3 linked regions of the Arabidopsis thaliana genome follow. The protein of the gene in region 1 binds, or shares a complex with, the protein of each later gene. Each region holds a gene or a part of one and is shown on either strand. Other genes may lie near its edges. The genes, in order: AT3G05430, FVE and AT5G40340.

Evidence for each region.
Region 2: AT3G05430 (region 1) and FVE share a complex: the UniProt entries of both Arabidopsis thaliana proteins name them as parts of the PRC2 (polycomb repressive complex 2) complex.
Region 3: AT3G05430 (region 1) and AT5G40340 share a complex: the UniProt entries of both Arabidopsis thaliana proteins name them as parts of the PRC2 (polycomb repressive complex 2) complex.

What each region holds. Positions count from the first base shown.
Region 1 is NC_003074.8:1,565,947-1,571,825, forward strand, and holds AT3G05430 (Tudor/PWWP/MBT superfamily protein), read left to right. Parts: upstream 1-1,677; 5' UTR 1,678-1,798; coding exon 1,799-2,834; intron 2,835-3,229; coding exon 3,230-5,091; 3' UTR 5,092-5,272; downstream 5,273-5,879. Other genes in the region: ACBP4 (acyl-CoA binding protein 4), read left to right, coding at 1-101, 291-437, 610-669, 916-1,101; AT3G05425 (uncharacterized protein), read left to right, coding at 1,528-1,659. UniProt on the Arabidopsis thaliana protein: May influence gene expression by regulating the function of the PRC2 complex and modulating H3K27me3 level.
Region 2 is NC_003071.7:8,453,773-8,460,166, reverse strand, and holds FVE (Transducin family protein / WD-40 repeat family protein), read right to left. Parts: upstream 4,412-6,394; 5' UTR 4,162-4,411; coding exon 3,878-4,161; intron 3,523-3,877; coding exon 3,459-3,522; intron 3,366-3,458; coding exon 3,279-3,365; intron 3,170-3,278; coding exon 3,107-3,169; intron 2,934-3,106; coding exon 2,868-2,933; intron 2,724-2,867; coding exon 2,649-2,723; intron 2,512-2,648; coding exon 2,436-2,511; intron 2,363-2,435; coding exon 2,167-2,362; intron 2,057-2,166; coding exon 1,975-2,056; intron 1,895-1,974; coding exon 1,821-1,894; intron 1,747-1,820; coding exon 1,635-1,746; intron 1,550-1,634; coding exon 1,475-1,549; intron 1,371-1,474; coding exon 1,303-1,370; intron 1,219-1,302; coding exon 1,119-1,218; intron 1,034-1,118; coding exon 932-1,033; 3' UTR 525-931; downstream 1-524. UniProt on the Arabidopsis thaliana protein: Core histone-binding subunit that may target chromatin assembly factors, chromatin remodeling factors and histone deacetylases to their histone substrates in a manner that is regulated by nucleosomal DNA.
Region 3 is NC_003076.8:16,130,845-16,136,992, reverse strand, and holds AT5G40340 (Tudor/PWWP/MBT superfamily protein), read left to right. Parts: upstream 1-1,599; 5' UTR 1,600-2,133; intron 2,134-2,300; 5' UTR 2,301-2,312; coding exon 2,313-5,339; 3' UTR 5,340-5,596; downstream 5,597-6,148. UniProt on the Arabidopsis thaliana protein: Together with PDP1, PDP2 and PDP6, interacts with MSI4/FVE and MSI5 to suppress FLC, MAF4 and MAF5 expression by regulating the function of the PRC2 complex and modulating H3K27me3 level, thereby promoting flowering.

The sequences.
Region 1 (5,879 bases):
TTAATAATGCCACAACCAGAGACATTGAGTCTGAGGTTGAGGTGAGCCAAGAAGGCAGGGTACGGGAAATTGTCATGGACAATGTTAACCCTGGATCAAAGGTATCTTCTTGTCAAATTTCCCTCCTTAATATATTTTGCATAGCACCACCTTTTGATTTGTTTGAGAGAATTGAAGCATCTTATGCATATATGCTGTGGTAGTGATTGTGTCGACACAGAATATAGTTACTCCAGTCCGGATCATCACCTTCTCGCACTCTTATTATGTTTTGGGTGATTAATCCCCAGGTTGAAGGAAACAGCGAACGCATTATTGCGACTATTAAATCTGAGAAGGAAGAGCTGGAGGCATCACTGAACAAAGAGAGGATGCAGACTCTCCAACTAAGGCAAGAGTTAGGAGAAGCAGAATTACGAAACACAGATTTGTACAAGGTACTAATATTATCACCTTCTTAAAACAGAAGCCGACATGAATAAATTGGTGAACCAATCGTTCATAAAGACTGGTTGCAGCAGTCTTCCAATTGCATTCACATTTAACATCTGAAATCTCGGAATTTTTCCTCGAATATGATATACCTAACTTTGTACTGACATTTTGTAGGAACTTCAATCTGTTCGTGGCCAACTTGCAGCCGAACAATCAAGGTGTTTCAAACTGGAGGTACTAAACCGTAGCCACATCTCTTTTGTACCATAACCTACAGAATTTGGAATCTCGTGAAACCCGTGATTTAATGACTACATATACTCATATTCCAGGATGAATAGGAATCTTGATTAGAACATTCATCCATTGTAACCACTGGATCTATCACATATCTTCTCTGTCATTTATTGATAAGCTTCATCACGTCATAAGAACAAAAACAAAGCAAATCTAATTGGGTCACTTTCTCCGAATCTGCAGGTTGATGTTGCAGAGCTAAGACAAAAGCTTCAAACATTGGAAACACTACAGAAGGAACTCGAACTCCTGCAACGTCAAAAGGCTGCCTCAGAACAAGCTGCAATGAACGCTAAACGACAGGGCTCGGGTGGCGTATGGGGCTGGCTCGCTGGAAGCCCTCAGGAAAAAGATGATGATTCGCCTTGATCATTTTTGGTCCGGTAATGCCATTTTCCTCCGGACGATATTTGCTTTCAGTAAAGAAATATATATAGTTTTTTTTGTCTGAGTCTCTCGCATTGTTTCTTCTTCCAATAAGATATTTTTTTAGCGAGCTTTGATTACTACCGATGTTTAGCTTTGTTCTCTGTTATACAAGTGATTCACCAGAATATTCGTTAACTTTTTTGAAATATTTGTTTTGGGAGTGTCTGACAAAATTATGAAAACTAAATCAGTTTACGATCAGCAATCATAATTTTCTTATATTTACGAGTCTCTTACTCTCTTCACTCTTTAGTCTTCGTTTGCATTAAAAATTAAATTAAATTTACCTCACTTCGTAAGTGGACAAAAAATCACGTTTTAGGCAGCAAAATAAAATAAAATAAAAAGATCACGTTTTTTTGTCCCATGACGTGGCAACCTATTACTGGATGGGAAGTTCGACCGTTCACCATCACCATTTATGACGCTGAGAAGTTACCAAAATGTCCTTCTCACCAAGTGATGCTTTTGTCATCTTCTCCAGCTTTACTCTCATGAAATTTCTTAAATTTTCTCTTCCAGCAAACAATCTCAGGATTTAAACAAAGTTACGCATCTTCTGGCTTCGAGTTGTTTCTAGGGTTTCATTGTTATGAAAGCTCTTTAACACCGAGGGTTCAAGTGTGGTTAGAGAGAAATGAATTCGGCTGAGGTGAATGTGAATCCTAGGGTTTTTGGTGATAGTTTCGTTACTTTTTCTGGCAATGGCTCCGGGAAATTTGAAATGATTGATCAGGCCGAAGCTTTCCTTATGGAGCTTGATTCGGTTGCTGCAGACACTGGAAGTGATGGAAATGGAAATGTCGATTTAGGTTCTCGAGTGTCTAACAGTGAAACGGAACCTAGATTTTGTGAAATGAAAAGAGAGATTAGAGACTCTGATCACCGATTTTATGAGCTCTGCAACGAATCTGGTGAGAAGAAAATGGAGAAAAGGCGAGTTCCGGACTACAAATCTTTCTTATCCGAATTTGACGATTATGTTGCGAGGGAGAAAATGGGTTCTAGAAATTCGAAGGCATTGAGCTATGGTTTTGAAGTGGGAGATATGGTTTGGGGAAAGGTAAAGTCACATCCATGGTGGCCAGGTCAAATATTCAATGAAGCTTTTGCGTCTCCCTCTGTTCGTCGTGTGAAGAAGATGGGTTACGTTCTGGTTGCTTTCTTTGGGGATAATAGTTATGGATGGTTCGATCCTGCTGAGCTTATCCCTTTTGAACCTCATGTGAAGGAGAAATCACAGCAAACTAGTTCGGATCACTTTGCAAAAGCTGTGGAAGAAGCTATGAATGAAGTAGGTAGAAGGTCAGCTCTTGGCTTGACTTGTAAATGTCGGAATCAGTATAACTTTAGGCCTATTAATGCTCAAGGTTACTTTGCTGTAGACGTGCCTGATTACGAGGTCCAAGCTATTTACTCTTCTAAGCAGATTCAGAAAGCTAGGGATAGTTTTTCATCTGTGCAAACTCTAGCTTTTGTGAAGCGGTGTGCATTAGCACCTCAAGAGTGTGATACAGACAGCTTAAAGTCTTTCCAGAAGAAAGTAGCGGTTTGTGCATTCCGTAGAGCAGTGTTTGAGGAGTTTGATGAAACATATGAACAAGCTTTCAGGGCAAGATCTGTATACTGTTTAATGAAGACACATGAACCACTTAATAGAGCACCCCTTCGAGGTAGATTCACCTTTCAGCGATCCTGGCATTGTTTTGAATACATTTGTAATATTTCTGCTTCCAAAATCGAATTTTATGGAGTTTTATTAGATCTTTCTCCTATGTATCACAGAGATACGGTACTCTATAAATTGGTGATCTCGTTGAGTTTGTTTTTCTGTTTCTCGAGCCATATAGGCTACATTCGAGAGTTTTGTGGTTTGGGTATCCTTCGACATCAAAAATGCTTTTCTTAAGGTTGTTATTGTAGGATTTATAGCTATGAAGTTGTATTCTTAGAATGCCTCAAAAGGATATGGCATATCTTTGATCTTAAATTCTGGATTGTGAAATCTCATTGTGTTGGGTGGTTGGAATAGATTTCATATTTCCTCATGCATTGCTTGTGTTTACAGTCCCCTTGAGTGGCTCATTGGTCAGTGCAGAAACTCTGGGCAACCCAAAGAGCTACACAAAAGCTATGAATGTAAAGGATTCTACTAAACAAGACAAATATCTTCCAAAAAGAAGAGAAGAAGCTGGTGATATGACAGTTCAATTTGGCCAGGTCCAAGAATCTTCTCAGTTTCAGGGCATCAACGGATCTTCAGCTTGGGATCGTCTACTCCAGAGAAGGACTCCATGTCTCCAAACTCCCAGGAAACATGAGCAGACTGGGCTTGTCAGCATGAACTTCACCTCTTCAAGTGGTAATATTCCTGGAAAGAAATCCTCTGTTTCAAAGCTCTCTCGTGATGATGACAAGGGTTTAGCTCAAGAGTCAGATGTGAGAATGGGAGAAAAAGCAACTCTATTTCCAGATCAGGAGAAATTTGAACCAATGAAAAGCCTTAAACAAGATGAGACTGGAACAAATTCTAGATCTAACAAAAGCTCTCTCAAGCTTTTTAGTGGTGGGAAATTTTCTGCAGGAGTTGGGATCAAGAAAGGCAATGTCGTGAAACGGTCTTCTGGCGAAATGAAATCTGAGAATTGTCCTCCAGAACCAAAGAAAAAGAAGAAAGAGTATGTGTCAGAGCTGAACCGTGACACTCCAGATAAGAGGAAAGCGTTATCTTCTGGAGAAGCTTGGGCCAAGAAATCGTCACAAGTAGATTCAGCAAAGAGACGCTCCAATATGTTGATAGTGAAACTTGATGGTCTGCAGCTGTTGAGTAATTTGCTAGCTCTCTCGCTTGACCCTCTCTTTGGATCCTCAGATAGAAGTTCTTTTAGAGTTATAAGGCAGTTCTTTTTTCATTTCCGATCACATGTTTACCAGAAAAGCTTGGCCACATCTCCTTCCGCAACAAAACTGTCAAAATCTGCAAAGACTTTGTGCAGAGCTAATGAACAATCAAAGGCTGGGAGAAACCGCATATCGTCTGACAGTCAACAAGATGTCCCATCAACTAAGAAGCTAAAGAAAACCATTCAGTTCAAACCACTGGCTTCTGACAAGAAAACAAACCAAGATGCAACAAAGAGATCAAGTCTTGCACCTTTAAATCCAGTAAGAGACCAATGTCGAGTTCCCATCAATGCCAAACCAGCTATAGTTCAACAAGAAAAGAAGACGGGTCCATCTGCAATGGTAGTTGAGCCAACAATGCTGGTCATGATGTTTCCTCCTGGTGAATCTCTCCCTTCCATTGATCTGCTTAAGGCGAGGTTTGGACGCTTTGGACAGTTGGATCAATCAGCCATCAGAGTTTCCTGGAAATCCTCGATCTGCCGTGTTGGCTTCCTGTATAAACTCGATGCGCAGACTGCCTTAAGATATGTATCAGGAAGCAAATCTCTCTTTGGCAATGTGAATGTGACATACTTTCTCCGTGACATGAAAGCTTCTTCTGCATCCGGAGATCATGAACTGAAGAAAGCCAAGAGGCCCAAGACAGACAAACCCATCACTAAACCATTGAACCAGCTACTAGAGCAAGCACCGCCGGTTCACCAACCAAACATCCAGCTCAAGTCTTGTTTGAAAAAACCAGGCAATAACCGTAATGGTAACCACAGAACAGTACGAGTGAAATTCATGTTGGGTGAGAAAGAAACAGAGTCACCATTTTCGGTTTCGATTCTTCCTCTCTCTTCACAAGACTCAGAACCAAAGCCTGTAAATAACCAAGTGGACCACGTCGAGCCACCACTAGACCCGTCACAGCTTAAGGTGGACATCTCCCTGCAGATGATGGAGCTGTTAACAAGGTGTAACGATGCTGTGGCCAACGTCACGGGTTTGTTGGGTTACGTCCCTTATCATTCCTTATGAAAGATTACATTAAAGAAAAACAAAAGTCTGTCCTTAGGTATTATTAACTAGTATTATCTGGAGAAGGGTATCAAAATTCAAAGTGAATAGAACATCTCTCTTTCTCTAAATATCCACATTTGACATATAAACCGATTTTAAACCAGAATGTTTTTCTAACTTTACTGGTTTCCAGTTTGCCAAAAAAAAAAAAACTTTATTGGTTTCCTATTTTAAAGCCAATATCAAACTGCAAAAAAAAAAAAAAAAAAACAATTAACCAAATTTGCATGAAAACTGAAACCAAATGCGTTTTAATTCTGCGCGTTTGATATTAGATCTAACATTTTAGAGCATAACAATATCCTACTATATTATTTGGAAAGTACATAACCTTACTTTTTGTAATTAATTACATGCCATTAGAAAAATTTAATCAAAAACAAAATCTTTTAATGACATCATTAAGATTATCAAAATTATTTAACGACAATATTCATCTCTTAATTATAGGGCTTATTGGATTTAAAGACGGGTCATCAAAAATTTCCTAAACTAAAGCAAAATATACTGAATATTCAAATATCTATCTGTTACCAAATTATAAACAAATAAGTTCGTAAAACGATTTAATATTTTATATACGAAATCAATTAAATCTTAATCACATAAAAATTAGCACAAAAAAAAATATGGTACATTTGGGTCTATAGTATTTTTGCAAGACTTTTTTGGTGGATTTTGGTAAAAGTGCATTCGGCCCCTATTAAATAAATATGGTACACTCCTAAGTTATTAGCTAAAATGTT
Region 2 (6,394 bases), on another chromosome or scaffold:
TATCGTCGGAAAAAGAAAAGAAAATGTAGGTCTAAAAACCCTAATTTTATGAAATACTCCGATTCGTCTACTTGTGATTGATTAGCTTCCCTACCTTATTCCTCAAGCAATACATTGATTCATGTTTCTCTCTTTAGTATCTTTTGGAACAAAAACTTCTTCGTTTGATCTTCTCTGACTGATCTTGACGGTCTCATGTAGGCTTTGTGATTGGATTTTTAAAGTCTCTAGCTCATCAAGAGACTTCATAAAGCCTATTAAGCGGGAGGACCATTAACGTTAAGCCCAATAAAGTAAAACATTATCATATAGTTTAGTTTTATGAAATGACCAGGTGATCTATGTATGATTTGCAATGGTCTGATTGTTTAGTGACTGTTAATACTTAAAATTTCTTCAAAATCCTACGAATAAATCTGTGAATTGAAAATCACCTAATCCTACTGCTAAGCGTGATTAACAGTTTTTTTCTAATGAAAACGACAATGCAAACATTATTTAAGATGCGACGAATCATCAAGAACCCAGTTTCCAAATTTTGCGATGCTTATTACTATATTGTTTTATAATGACCCCTTCTGCTTTGCATTTGAACATCAATGCAACTATTTTTTTTGTAGCCGGGTTGGTCTCGACTAGTTACAGAGAAGGAATCATTAGGTTCAGGCCAAGTATTGAAACCTTAAACCAAAACACATAAAGTTGGTCCGATTTGATTAACATCTCAGTTGAACAAAACAGCACCTAAGAGTCTGATGAAACAGGATCATGAACCAGAACCATGTACCCCTAACTGATATGGAAAGGTCCTAAAAGCTACCACCAATATCTCAAAAGACAAACCAGCCTTACAAAAACCAAGACTCCTCGCTAAAACCCGCATTAGTTTACCATAGGCGATAGATAGATAGACAATGGGTTTTCTTTACTCTTAAGGCTTGGAGGCACAAGTCATAACATGCGACTTGAACTTCTCCAATTCTGCCACGACTTCTTCTTCTGGTCTGTAAATCAAGTCACTCATCCGCCATATCTGCCATAGAAGAAAGTATAAACAACATTTAACGGTATGTCAATAAAATTGCTTATCAAGGTACCAAGAAAGATTTCAAGGTTACCTGCAATGTTCCACCTCCACCAGTAGTCTCACAGTCATCAGAAACACTGACAATAGTCCAAGGGTCTGAAGCATTCCAGTGGAAATCAACAACTTTGTCCCTAATATGGTTTATAAACAAGGGAACTTAGAAGCAAGTAAAATGAGAAAGCAATCAAGAAAAATCAAGATAAGTCTTTAAGAACCTGTGACCAGCATGCTGGAAGAAGAGCCCAGCGGGGCTTTTAGCTGCACGATCAGACTTCTTACTGACCTGATGGTTAATTAAACAAACCAAACATGAGTACAATGAATATGTTTCAGTGATGATAGTGAAGAAAGATTAATTTTAGACATCTGAGTGAACTATGTACACACCCTGTCATAATCCCAGATGTTCAAGAGACCATCTTCTGCAGAGCTCCCAAAGACGGATGACTTATCAGGAGACCACTGAATTGAATAACAAGATAGTGTCAGTGGGTTAAGAGATATACTTCATACAAAGAAGGAAAAAAAAAAAAAAAGTTGATTATACCTGAACACAAAGAACAGCAGCTTTGTGTCCCTCAAATTTGTAAATAGGCGAACCAACTCCATTAGCGGTAAGCTTCCTACGATCAAACAACCGGACAGTGTTGTCTGCTGACCTGAAATATTCATCAATTTCTTAATTAGATACTAAGTATGTATTAATCATCTATTTGTATGTATTTCTCCATACCCTGTCAGGATCAGATTGTCGTCATGAGGATTCCAATCAACACAATGAAGATCAGCATCATGCGCTTTTTCAACCTGGAAAACAAAAAAGTAAGATATAATATCAAAAGGAGGTAAATCTTCAAACTTTTGATAGGATTCAAAAGATAGAGTACCTTCGTGACAGGGTTTGTGCCAGTTCTCGCATCCCATAGTATAAGGCAAGAATCATCACCAACACTGCAGAATTCTTGTGCACTTCACGGTATAAAAGTTCACCAGAAGTATTATTAGAAAATCATGAAAATATCTGCAGTATGCATAAACAAACACGATATCAATAGAAGGAGTCTGTTCTAAGAAGTTACCTCGTCGGGCTGAATGCCACATCTTCAACTGTATCTTCATGGCCATGATATACACCTCGTGGGCCAACAGTAGGACTCTCATTCTTATCAGTACCTTCACCAGTCTGTTTGATGATAGATCCAGATGATTTGGAATCTGTCCCAATCGTTGTGATGTGATCTTGGATACTCCACAAAACAACTGACTTGTCCTTGCCTAAGAGAAGAACTTTTGTATGAGAAACTGGCAAACCACAGGATTGGACTCTACAAATTACAGAAACACAAACCTCCGGAGAGCACAAAGGGTTCCGTTGGGCACATGGCAAGAGCAAATTCAGCATTATCTTGGTGCCCAGTTAGTATCTGCATGAAAAATGGTTCATTCAGATGATGCAAACAAGAAGCACTATTTAAGAAGATATCAAAGAGATTTATCACTTCCAATGATGAGAAACAAACAAGAATAAAGCATAAAACAACATTCTCAGAAGTGGACATACCAAATCTGGACGGGAATTTGCAGCTCCAAGCACAGCATGACGGTTTGGTTGGGTTTCAACATCCCAAATGAGAACCTGAAATCAACATATTGTATTTAGATAACTCTGAAACTGGACATATGTCCGAACAAAGGATGCTCTTTGACTGCCAAATACAGAAATATGAAACCGACATATTTCAAGTTGCTATGACCATAACAAAATAGAAGCAGCACTCACATCAGGACTGTCGGTGTGAGTAGCAACAATCTTACTATTCTGTGGGAGTTCCCTGATTCTGTTAACCTGCAATTGCAAATTAGTAATGAATACACATCAAAATTTACTTTCACCAACGTGCCAAACGAATAACTTCATGGACAGATGAAACAGGGATGCAGATACAATTAACAAACCAAATAGAACTAAAAAGAACAATGTCAATACAGAAATATCTCAAGAGTGGGCAGAATTCACACCTCTCCAGGGTGAATGATGGTCTTGTACTTCTTCACAAATGGAGAACGTGCTTCTTCATTGAACTGAGAACACATTTTCAGAAGATAGTATATAAGTGTCAAACATGAAACCAATTGTAGTGTGGAGTAGGATATGGAAAGGACACAAGCTTAGTATTAAACCACATAATACCTGAGAAATGTGCTCTGCTGCAGCAACCCTTGGCTTAACAACTTCACAATTTGCTATGACCAAAGTATTGGGCACACTTCCATCAGTCTGGTGACACAACCAAGAAAAATACAAATAATACGATGAGAAGTATATAAAGAAGATGAGACAACAAGATACAAGAGAAAGCTAAAAACTTACTTGCTCTGAGAGGTACAGACGCTGGCGATTCTTGTAGGTTGCTTGCTCAAGCTGCGGACCCCATCTATAAAAAAATCAAACAACAATTCACCAAATGGAAACTCTTAGCACAACAACTAAAGACTTCATCAGATATAAACACTCAGAGAAACTGAAAATTCCTCTTAGTCATTAGTAACCAACAAGGTAATCAATAGTAACAATTCATGAATAGAACATCAGATATATCAAGGTATGAAGACAGAGCCACATCCAAAACCCTAACTAGAACAATCGCAACAATCTCACTTAAACCCAGAAATCGAGAAAATGTATGTGTAAGATTTTACTAAATTCATTCCAAACATGAGAATGTTCAAAGCTAAGAAACGATTACGAAACGAAACCCTAGAAGGAGAGGAAAGGAGAAAGGGGGAGACCTGCAAGAGAGTGAAGGCCAGACGAGGTTATGGTTAGCGAGCCAGTCGTAGAGAATGGGGACGAGACCTTTCCACTGAGAGTACTTCTCGTCAACACTCGGCGACTGCTGCGTTTTCTTCCCACTTTCTTTCATTTTAACATCGCTCTGTTGCTGAGACGACGGCGTCTGAGAATCTTCCTTGGTTTTAGGTTTCCGACCTCTCTTCTTCGGCCCAGAAGCTCCGGTTCCTCCGCTCGGTGTCGTTGCTTGAGGAGACACTGCTGCTGCTTCGTCGCTCTCCATTTTCCTCTCTCTCTTTTTAATTTTTCTTTTTTGGTCTTTGCTTTCAGTGTCTCTATATCTCTCTCTCTTCTGCTTTACAAATACAAACAAAACAACCACCGTTTACCATTTTTACTTTGGACATAATACCTGAATCCGAAAAAACCGATCTGAACCCGATCCAAAAATCCCAATCCAAAAATCCCAATCTAAATTCGAACCTGAAATTTTCAAATATCCGACTGAATCTAAACTTCAAAACCTGAAAAACCCGAACCCGAACTGGTACCCAAACATATCTTAAATATAAATATAACTAAAATATTTATATTTATATTTACATATAGACAATATTATGATTTTTCGGATATTTTAGTTACTTTTATGTATTTTTAAATATATTCAAGCAAAACTACTCGGGTTGTTTAGGGAATTTTTGAAATTTTCAAATAATTTAATAGATTCGGACACAAAATTTTGATATTTCAATATATAACTAAACCCGAAACCGAACCAAACCCGACCCGGAATCTTGAATTACTCGAACGGATCTTAAAATTCTAAACCCGAAAAACTCAAACCCAAAATACCCGACCGAATATCCAAACACCCATAATTATTATTTTTTAATTCAGTAAAATAAATACTTTATTGAATAATAATAAAAATTACGGATGAAATAATTAACAGTATAAATTAATTAATATAAGCGTCTCTTACATGGATTACTAACTTTATAATTCATATCCAAACTTGTTGTTCTTTCTTGTAGCTTCTTCTGAAAAAAAAAAAAAGAATAGATCCTCGTTGCATTTTGAAAAGTGATTTAAGAAGATTTCAATGTTTGTTTAATACTTGAACAATAAAGTCCAATATTGTTCAGAAGTATATGACTAAGCTTAGACTTGAACCCTAAGTTTGTTCTTGGTGTCTAAACTTAAAACATTCATTTCATTTGTTCTCTGCTGGCTAAACCTATAAAATTTACCTTTCATTTTATCTTCTTTATTTAAAACATAAAATTGTACTATTTCATATCCCTCTTTGTTCTATGTGAAAAGCTCAATTTTCACTCATGGATTCGACACCAAATAACTTTCTTTGGGACATTGAAAGCCTTAAAATATCTCGAGGTTATGATTTACATGTAGTTGTTCCAAGCTTGAGGCTTTTTCTCAATCCAGCATGGATTAATCTGATGAATATGGTAAATCCGAAAAAAACCTAAACGTCTGTTCGCTCTATTTAATATCTTAATTTTTTTTATTATGATTATAGTTTAGAACTTAAAAGTTATGTATAATCATGTCATTTTAAAATTTCGCTTCAAATCTCTATAATTCTTGGCATTGCACTTCTTATATCACTAGTTTTGACTATTAAGAAACGTTTTGTGCATAAAAATTCAGATTTTTTATGATCAACAAATTAAATAGTGTTAGAAATTTTGTTGTGATTATGAATTTTTTAAAATTCTAACACAATTTATTTGGTAGAGGTGCAAAATAGGTATTAAACAAAAATTTTAGATCTGCACAACATATATGTATACAAATATGTATATGAACTATGCAAATAAAAGAAAAAAAAAACTATTACTAAGATTACTAGGGAAAAATATTGACTCAAATCATCTAATTTATGTTTCTCATCTTACTAATATTAATGTTGATAGTATAGTGGTGTTTCATATATTCTCTAATTGCATATTACATATACATATTTGTATATTTACACCTATTTTCCTATTAACTTAATAAATAAATATTATTTTTTTTGGGACGAAATAAATTGTATTATTATCGTCATAAAACTGATAGGTACAATGAAATTAGTAACGCTAATGAATTTGTCGTCCAAAAATTAAAGATTTGAATTTTTTATACACAAAGTTTTTCGTGGTAGTTAGAGACATGTGATACAAGCATTTAAGATATTATGCATGTAAGGCAAACATGATTTTTAATCAAATGTCAAATATCATGAGTCAAAGATATACTAAACGAAACATAATATCTAGCTTTTTACAAAGCAATTTTCCAAAGGCAACTAAACCCTAATTCTATATTGGAATGTTATTTTACTTAGAACAAGAAACGAGAAGTTCTCGTATTTTTAAAATTATCAATTTTTTATACTTTTACTTTATTATATGTACAATATGTTTCTCTAGATTTCAAAGTTTCATTTATGATCATCTAAATACACAAACAATTTAATCACAAGAAATATGAATAAGAAATATAAGGTATTA
Region 3 (6,148 bases), on another chromosome or scaffold:
GTTGAGACTTAATTAAATATGAACAATCAAGTTCGCTATTGCATCTATATATGTTTTTGCCTTTATTTCTAATCATGTAGATTAAGATCATTTTTATGATATGCGTATAAATATTGTAGAAAAGATTAAGGTGCACAATCTAGATTTGGATAGATAGAAAAAGTAGAGGCATTGGTTTAGCTATCATATGTTCTCATCACATCAAGAGACTTGGATCTTAATTAATCAATGTTTCCATATTTACTGATAAATAAAAAAGTTATAAAGTAGACAAACCGTTGATATAATTTTTCACGTCCAAAGAGAGTACGTAGATCACCTCATGACCAGGTTGCTTTATAGTGTTTAGATTGTATAGCATTCATATTCTGACTGAATCTCTAGAACATATGCTCAAATCATTTCGTTTGGAGTTTTGACCCATCCTCAAATCATATTATATATGCATTCTATGCAAGTACAAATATGAACCATTACATTTTGTTGAATTAGGTTGCATGTCTTTTTAGTTTTGCCCACATGTTTTTCGTGTGAGAATTGTGAATTCCCCATGTGAATCATAAATGAAAAGATAACATGGTGGGTCGTTCACAACTTACAATTCGGAATTATTTTAAACGTGTCTGAATTCCCTTGGCACTGTAATGATCCGTCTGTTACGTTGCCTTGGGCCTTGGGCTTTGGAGATGGACTAATATTTACACAAGTTGGGTTCAAGGTCATTGAGCTTTCTTTCAAACTATGATTAAGTAGTGGGAAATATATGATTCATATATCACTATTACTTGGTATTACAGTTCTAATACAGATTATACAGTTGATTCATATTGGTTCGCCGTCGATACTACATATAATCATGTCATGAGAACGTGTTGTTCGTGTAAAATTAACACAACAAGAAAATTACGTTTAGATGTATCAAATGTTATCCTAACAGATTTCACATGTTATATAGTCTCAACGAAAAAAATTAAAACATTTAAACTGGGTCAAAAGATGTATTTAAGCGATTTTCTTATATGGTGTAACATAAGTTGACCAAAAAGATTGAATATGAATTAGTGTGAAGATTGATTCAATGACTAAATCTAGTTTAATCATAAAATCTAAACATTTATCTTTTTTTAATAAAACTCAAACCGATAAATAATTTTGTTTTAGTAACAAATTAGATTTTATAAGTAAATTAATTTTTTTATTATTATTAAATGTCAAATTTTAATTGAATAAAATAAAAAAAGTGAATATAAGGGTTCAACTCAAATATTTTTCAATTCAATATATATAACCAAGATTTTCGTTACCACTCCACTTAAGTAATGCAGTGAATGAAAAAGAAAAAATAATCAGTGTCTAAAATCAAAATACCGTTGGTCAGTTGAATAATGAAAAAGAAAAGATCTTTGATTTTCCTTTTACTTGGTAGATTCCTACTCTTTAGGATTGAGGTTTTAATAAAAGACTTTAATCAACAAGCACTAAATTTAAGATACTGGTGTTGTGTAATAATAAGTTTGGGCCGAGCAAAAAAAGAAAAGGACTGGGCCGAGAAACGGCAAATATTTGTGTCGTTTCAAATACCAAATTCAAAATCTCCATTCTTTTATTACTCTGCTTATTAGCCGTCTAAGCATATTACAGCTGTCAATCATCGAAAGCATGTGACGCGTCTCTCTTATTTCATCCCACTCGCGTTCATATACACGTGTTATCTACTCTCTATCCGATTTCCGCCACGTAAGAATCTAGACACTGATGTTCTTATACACATAGCGAGTAAGCTGTATTTTACACTCTCGTAGCTAGTCAGTTTATTGTGATAGCGACACGGCTGATTTAGGGAAATAAATTAAAAACGTTGTCTTATTCCTGGGGCAAAAAAAAGCAGATAAGTAAGCAAAAAAAAAAACTCATTAATTACGAAAGTACCCTTAAATTTCTCCGAAAGGAAATTTTTGCGCCGCGTTTCATCTTCTCTCAAATCAAAATCCAGAGAGAAAAAAAAGAGAGGATTTTTCTCATGAGATTCTGAGAGTGTCTTTGTTCTTCTTACAAAGAAGTGTTTTTTCTTGAAGATTCTTCGGTCGCTGTTCGAAAAGTTGTTGTTTCGTTTCTCTCGGAGCTCAAAATCAGGTAAAAAATTTGTTACTTTATATTTTCGTTTTTCTAGGTTTTTCGTAAGAGTTAACCTAATTTCAAAATTTGTTTTTTTGGGAGATATTGTTGGGTTTGTGTGTAAATAGTTAGGTTGATTTTTTTTTCTGATTTGTTTGTCGTTTTGTGATTTTTTTTTTCTACAGTCGGGAAGAAAAATGGAAATTGAAGTTGTTTTGGGAATCGGAGAAGATGCGGGACCTAAGCCTTGTTCTGCAGAGATTGAATCAGCTGAGAAAACCCTAAAAGATGATGGTGTTGTTCAAGAGAACGGTGTTAGGGTTTCCGACAACGGTGAGAAAAAGTCTGATGTTGTTGTTGATGTTGACGAGAAAAATGAGAAGAATTTGAACGAATCTGGAGTTATTGAAGATTGTGTTATGAATGGAGTTTCTTCCTTGCTCAAATTGAAGGAAGATGTGGAAGAAGAAGAAGAAGAAGAAGAAGAAGAAGAAGAGGAAGAAGAAGATGGCGAAGATGAAGAAGAAGAAGAAGAAGAAGAAGAAGAAGAAGAAGAAGAAGAGCATGGATACTGTGTAGGAGATTTTGTGTGGGGAAAAATTAAGAATCATCCATGGTGGCCAGGTCAGATTTATGATCCATCAGATGCTTCAGATTTGGCTTTGAAGATAAAGCAAAAAGGGAAATTGCTTGTGGCGTGTTTCGGAGACGGGACATTTGCTTGGTGCGGTGCGTCGCAGTTGAAACCGTTTGCAGAGAGTTTCAAAGAGTGTTCGAAAGTGAGTAATTCGCGGAGTTTTCTAGGTGCAGTGGAAGAGGCGGTTGAAGAAATTGGTAGACATATTGAGCGTGTATTGGTATGTGATTGTGCTGAGGAGAAGAAGCATGAGTTTGATAGTCCTTTAGTTAACAATGCTGGGATTAAAGAAGGTGTTTTGGTGCGTGATGTGAGACGGGAAATGATTTCGTCGTTGTTGATTGGTAAACATGGAGAGATTCTTAAAGATGTTAAGAGTTTTGCAGAGACTGTTAGTTTTAGTGGCTTGCTTGAGCTGGAGATATTGAAAAGGAAGGTATCTGCGTTTTATCGGTCTAATAGAGGATATGGTTTGACTGAGTATCATGAACCTCAATCAGTTCCAGGACTTGAAGACAAGAACAATGATGATGATGATGATGATGAAGAAAAGAATGTTAATGATGGGTTACAATGGCGTGCTAAACGGTCTAGAGTAGAAGAAGTAGCAGCTTTGGATCATGAAGAGTCGTCGTCTCTTCAGAGATCGTTAGAGAAGTGTTCTGGTTTTCCTGATCATAGGCTTCCCCACAGAAGGAAGGAGAAAAGCATTACTGAAATAATTGAGAAGGAGTCAGCTGCTAAGGTTAGGTTTGAGACAGAACCTGCGGATGGAGATGTAAAGTCAAATGTTAAGTCGGGTAGGAAGAAAACAAAACGCCATGATGAAGTTAATGGTGATCTTGAAAATGTAACTACTACTGCACTGTGGAGGAGAAGAAAGAGTGAAGTAGCTACAATTGAAGACGGTGGTAACAAGCAAGTGGTAGAAAGTAGCAAAGGCAAAACTTCGAGGAAGAAGAAGAAAATGGATGTGGATGATGGCGATGATGATGGGAGTGGAGACAAAGAAGAGTCTGAGGAAAAAGAGATTTCAGATCTGGAAATAAATATCGATTCAACTTCATTAGCTTCGCTGCGGAAAAAGGTAAGGTTTGATGATTCAGTCGTTGAAAGGAGTACTGAAAATGGCGAGACCGCTACACAAACATCAAAGAGAGAGAGGAAGAAGAGCAAGTATCTCTCGCCTGATTTCTTGTCAGATTTTTCACGGAAAGGAAGAAAAAAGAGTACAATCGAATCTGAATCTTCGAAAGTTTCAAGTCAGAGCCAAGTAGACGAGCGAGTGACTGATGCTAGTGATAGCCTCATGGAAGTGGAAGAAGATACGTTGGATAAACCTTGTGAACCATCATCTGATAATGGATTAGGTCAAGAAGAACTGTCTAGGGAACTTAGTAATGCCGTCGACTTTCTGAGGTTGGGAGCTACACCAAAGGAAATGCAGGATCTAATTCGTGTAGCTGCTCTTGGCACACAATATCCAAAAGACAGTAGCTCAAGAGACATGGTAAGAGAATTCATGACCATCTATAGAAGCTTCACATATCATGATGGAGCCAATCACAAGTTCTTAGGGAGCTATGATAGTTCGGATAAAGAAAAGGAAGAACTGAGTGAGATGGGTAAGCCTGTAACTAAGGGGAAAGAGAAGAAAGATAAGAAGGGTAAAGCAAAGCAGAAAGCAGAGGAGATAGAGGTAACTGGTAAAGAAGAGAATGAGACAGACAAGCATGGGAAAATGAAGAAAGAGCGAAAACGTAAGAAGTCTGAATCAAAGAAGGAAGGGGGTGAAGGAGAAGAAACCCAGAAAGAGGCTAATGAGTCAACAAAGAAAGAGAGAAAACGTAAGAAGTCTGAATCAAAGAAGCAATCAGATGGAGAAGAAGAAACTCAGAAAGAGCCAAGTGAGTCAACTAAAAAAGAGAGAAAACGTAAGAATCCTGAATCAAAGAAGAAGGCAGAAGCAGTTGAAGAAGAAGAAACCCGGAAAGAGTCTGTTGAATCAACCAAGAAAGAGAGAAAACGGAAGAAGCCTAAACACGACGAAGAAGAAGTCCCGAATGAGACTGAGAAACCCGAGAAGAAGAAGAAAAAGAAGAGAGAGGGAAAGTCTAAAAAGAAAGAAACTGAGACGGAATTTTCAGGAGCTGAGCTATATGTTACATTTGGTCCTGGTTCAAGTTTGCCTAAAAAGGAAGATCTGATTGAAATATATGAAAAATTTGGAGCTTTGGACAAAGAGAGAACTGATACGGTCGACAACAACTTCTCTGCCCATGTGGCTTTCTTGGATGTAGCTGATGGAGAAAAAGCCTTTGAATCCTCACTAGAGAAATGTCCGTTTACTTCTAATTCGACGGTGAAATTCAGACTCAAGTATCCAAATGAGAGAACAGAGGAGAAGAAAACTGAAGCTGAAGTTGCAGAGACGACAATGGAGGTGGAATATCTGAAGAAAAAGCTGGATGAGATGAAATTGTTACTTGATGGATGCGAAGGAGGAATGACTGAAGAAGTGAAAGTGAAACTTGAAGGTGAGATGGTAAATTTGTTGGAGAAAGTGATAGAGATGAGATCTTCTTAGGATTATGATTTTATGTTTTTATTTTGTTGGTTGAGAACTTTCAGGACAGGTTTTAGGATATTTATGGTTTCTGCAAAACATAACAAAAGTATTTTGAGAGGTTAATGTCTTGGTGATACTATGATCTTGTCGTAGGGTAGACAGAATTAGATCGATGTTCTATGTTTTTGTGTAGACTTTTTTAAAGTTTACCAACTTTGATACTAAACCCATTAGTGGGCTTTTGGTTTATCACTCTCTTGAAAGCCCACTAATTTTATTATATTACAAACAAAATTTTCAAAATCCTTTCGACGAGTATTGAATGTTTGATGAAGCCATACAAAGAGGGAGGTTGGAGATTTTTATTAGAAAGGGAGTCTCGTCGAGACTGAATCATTTACGTAATGCTAATTAGTGATCCAACAACATAAATGTTCTAAGACAATGAACAAATTCAACCATTTGATTGATCACAAAAAATGTATCCAGATAATGTATAAGAGTTAATTAAGATATTTGGCCAATTTCAAATTCAATTATCAAATTCAGAACATTAGGCTTAATCATGTTTGCTTGTTCATGTTTGCTTGTTCGTTTTTGCGTTAGTTCTCGGAGAAGCTGTAGACTTCTATCTTTGAGGTTTTGTGGACGGACCTTGAATAATCATGCTCGTGGCAACTAGGATGAGGATTCCAATACTTCGGTACTGCGGCAACAACGCAAATTTCCGAGCTTCGCGGACTCGGAATCGGTGTTTCTCCTCCTAACTTGGCCTTGATCACTCATCGGCGATCCTTTGCAATTAGAGTTGTAATGTTGTTCTTTAA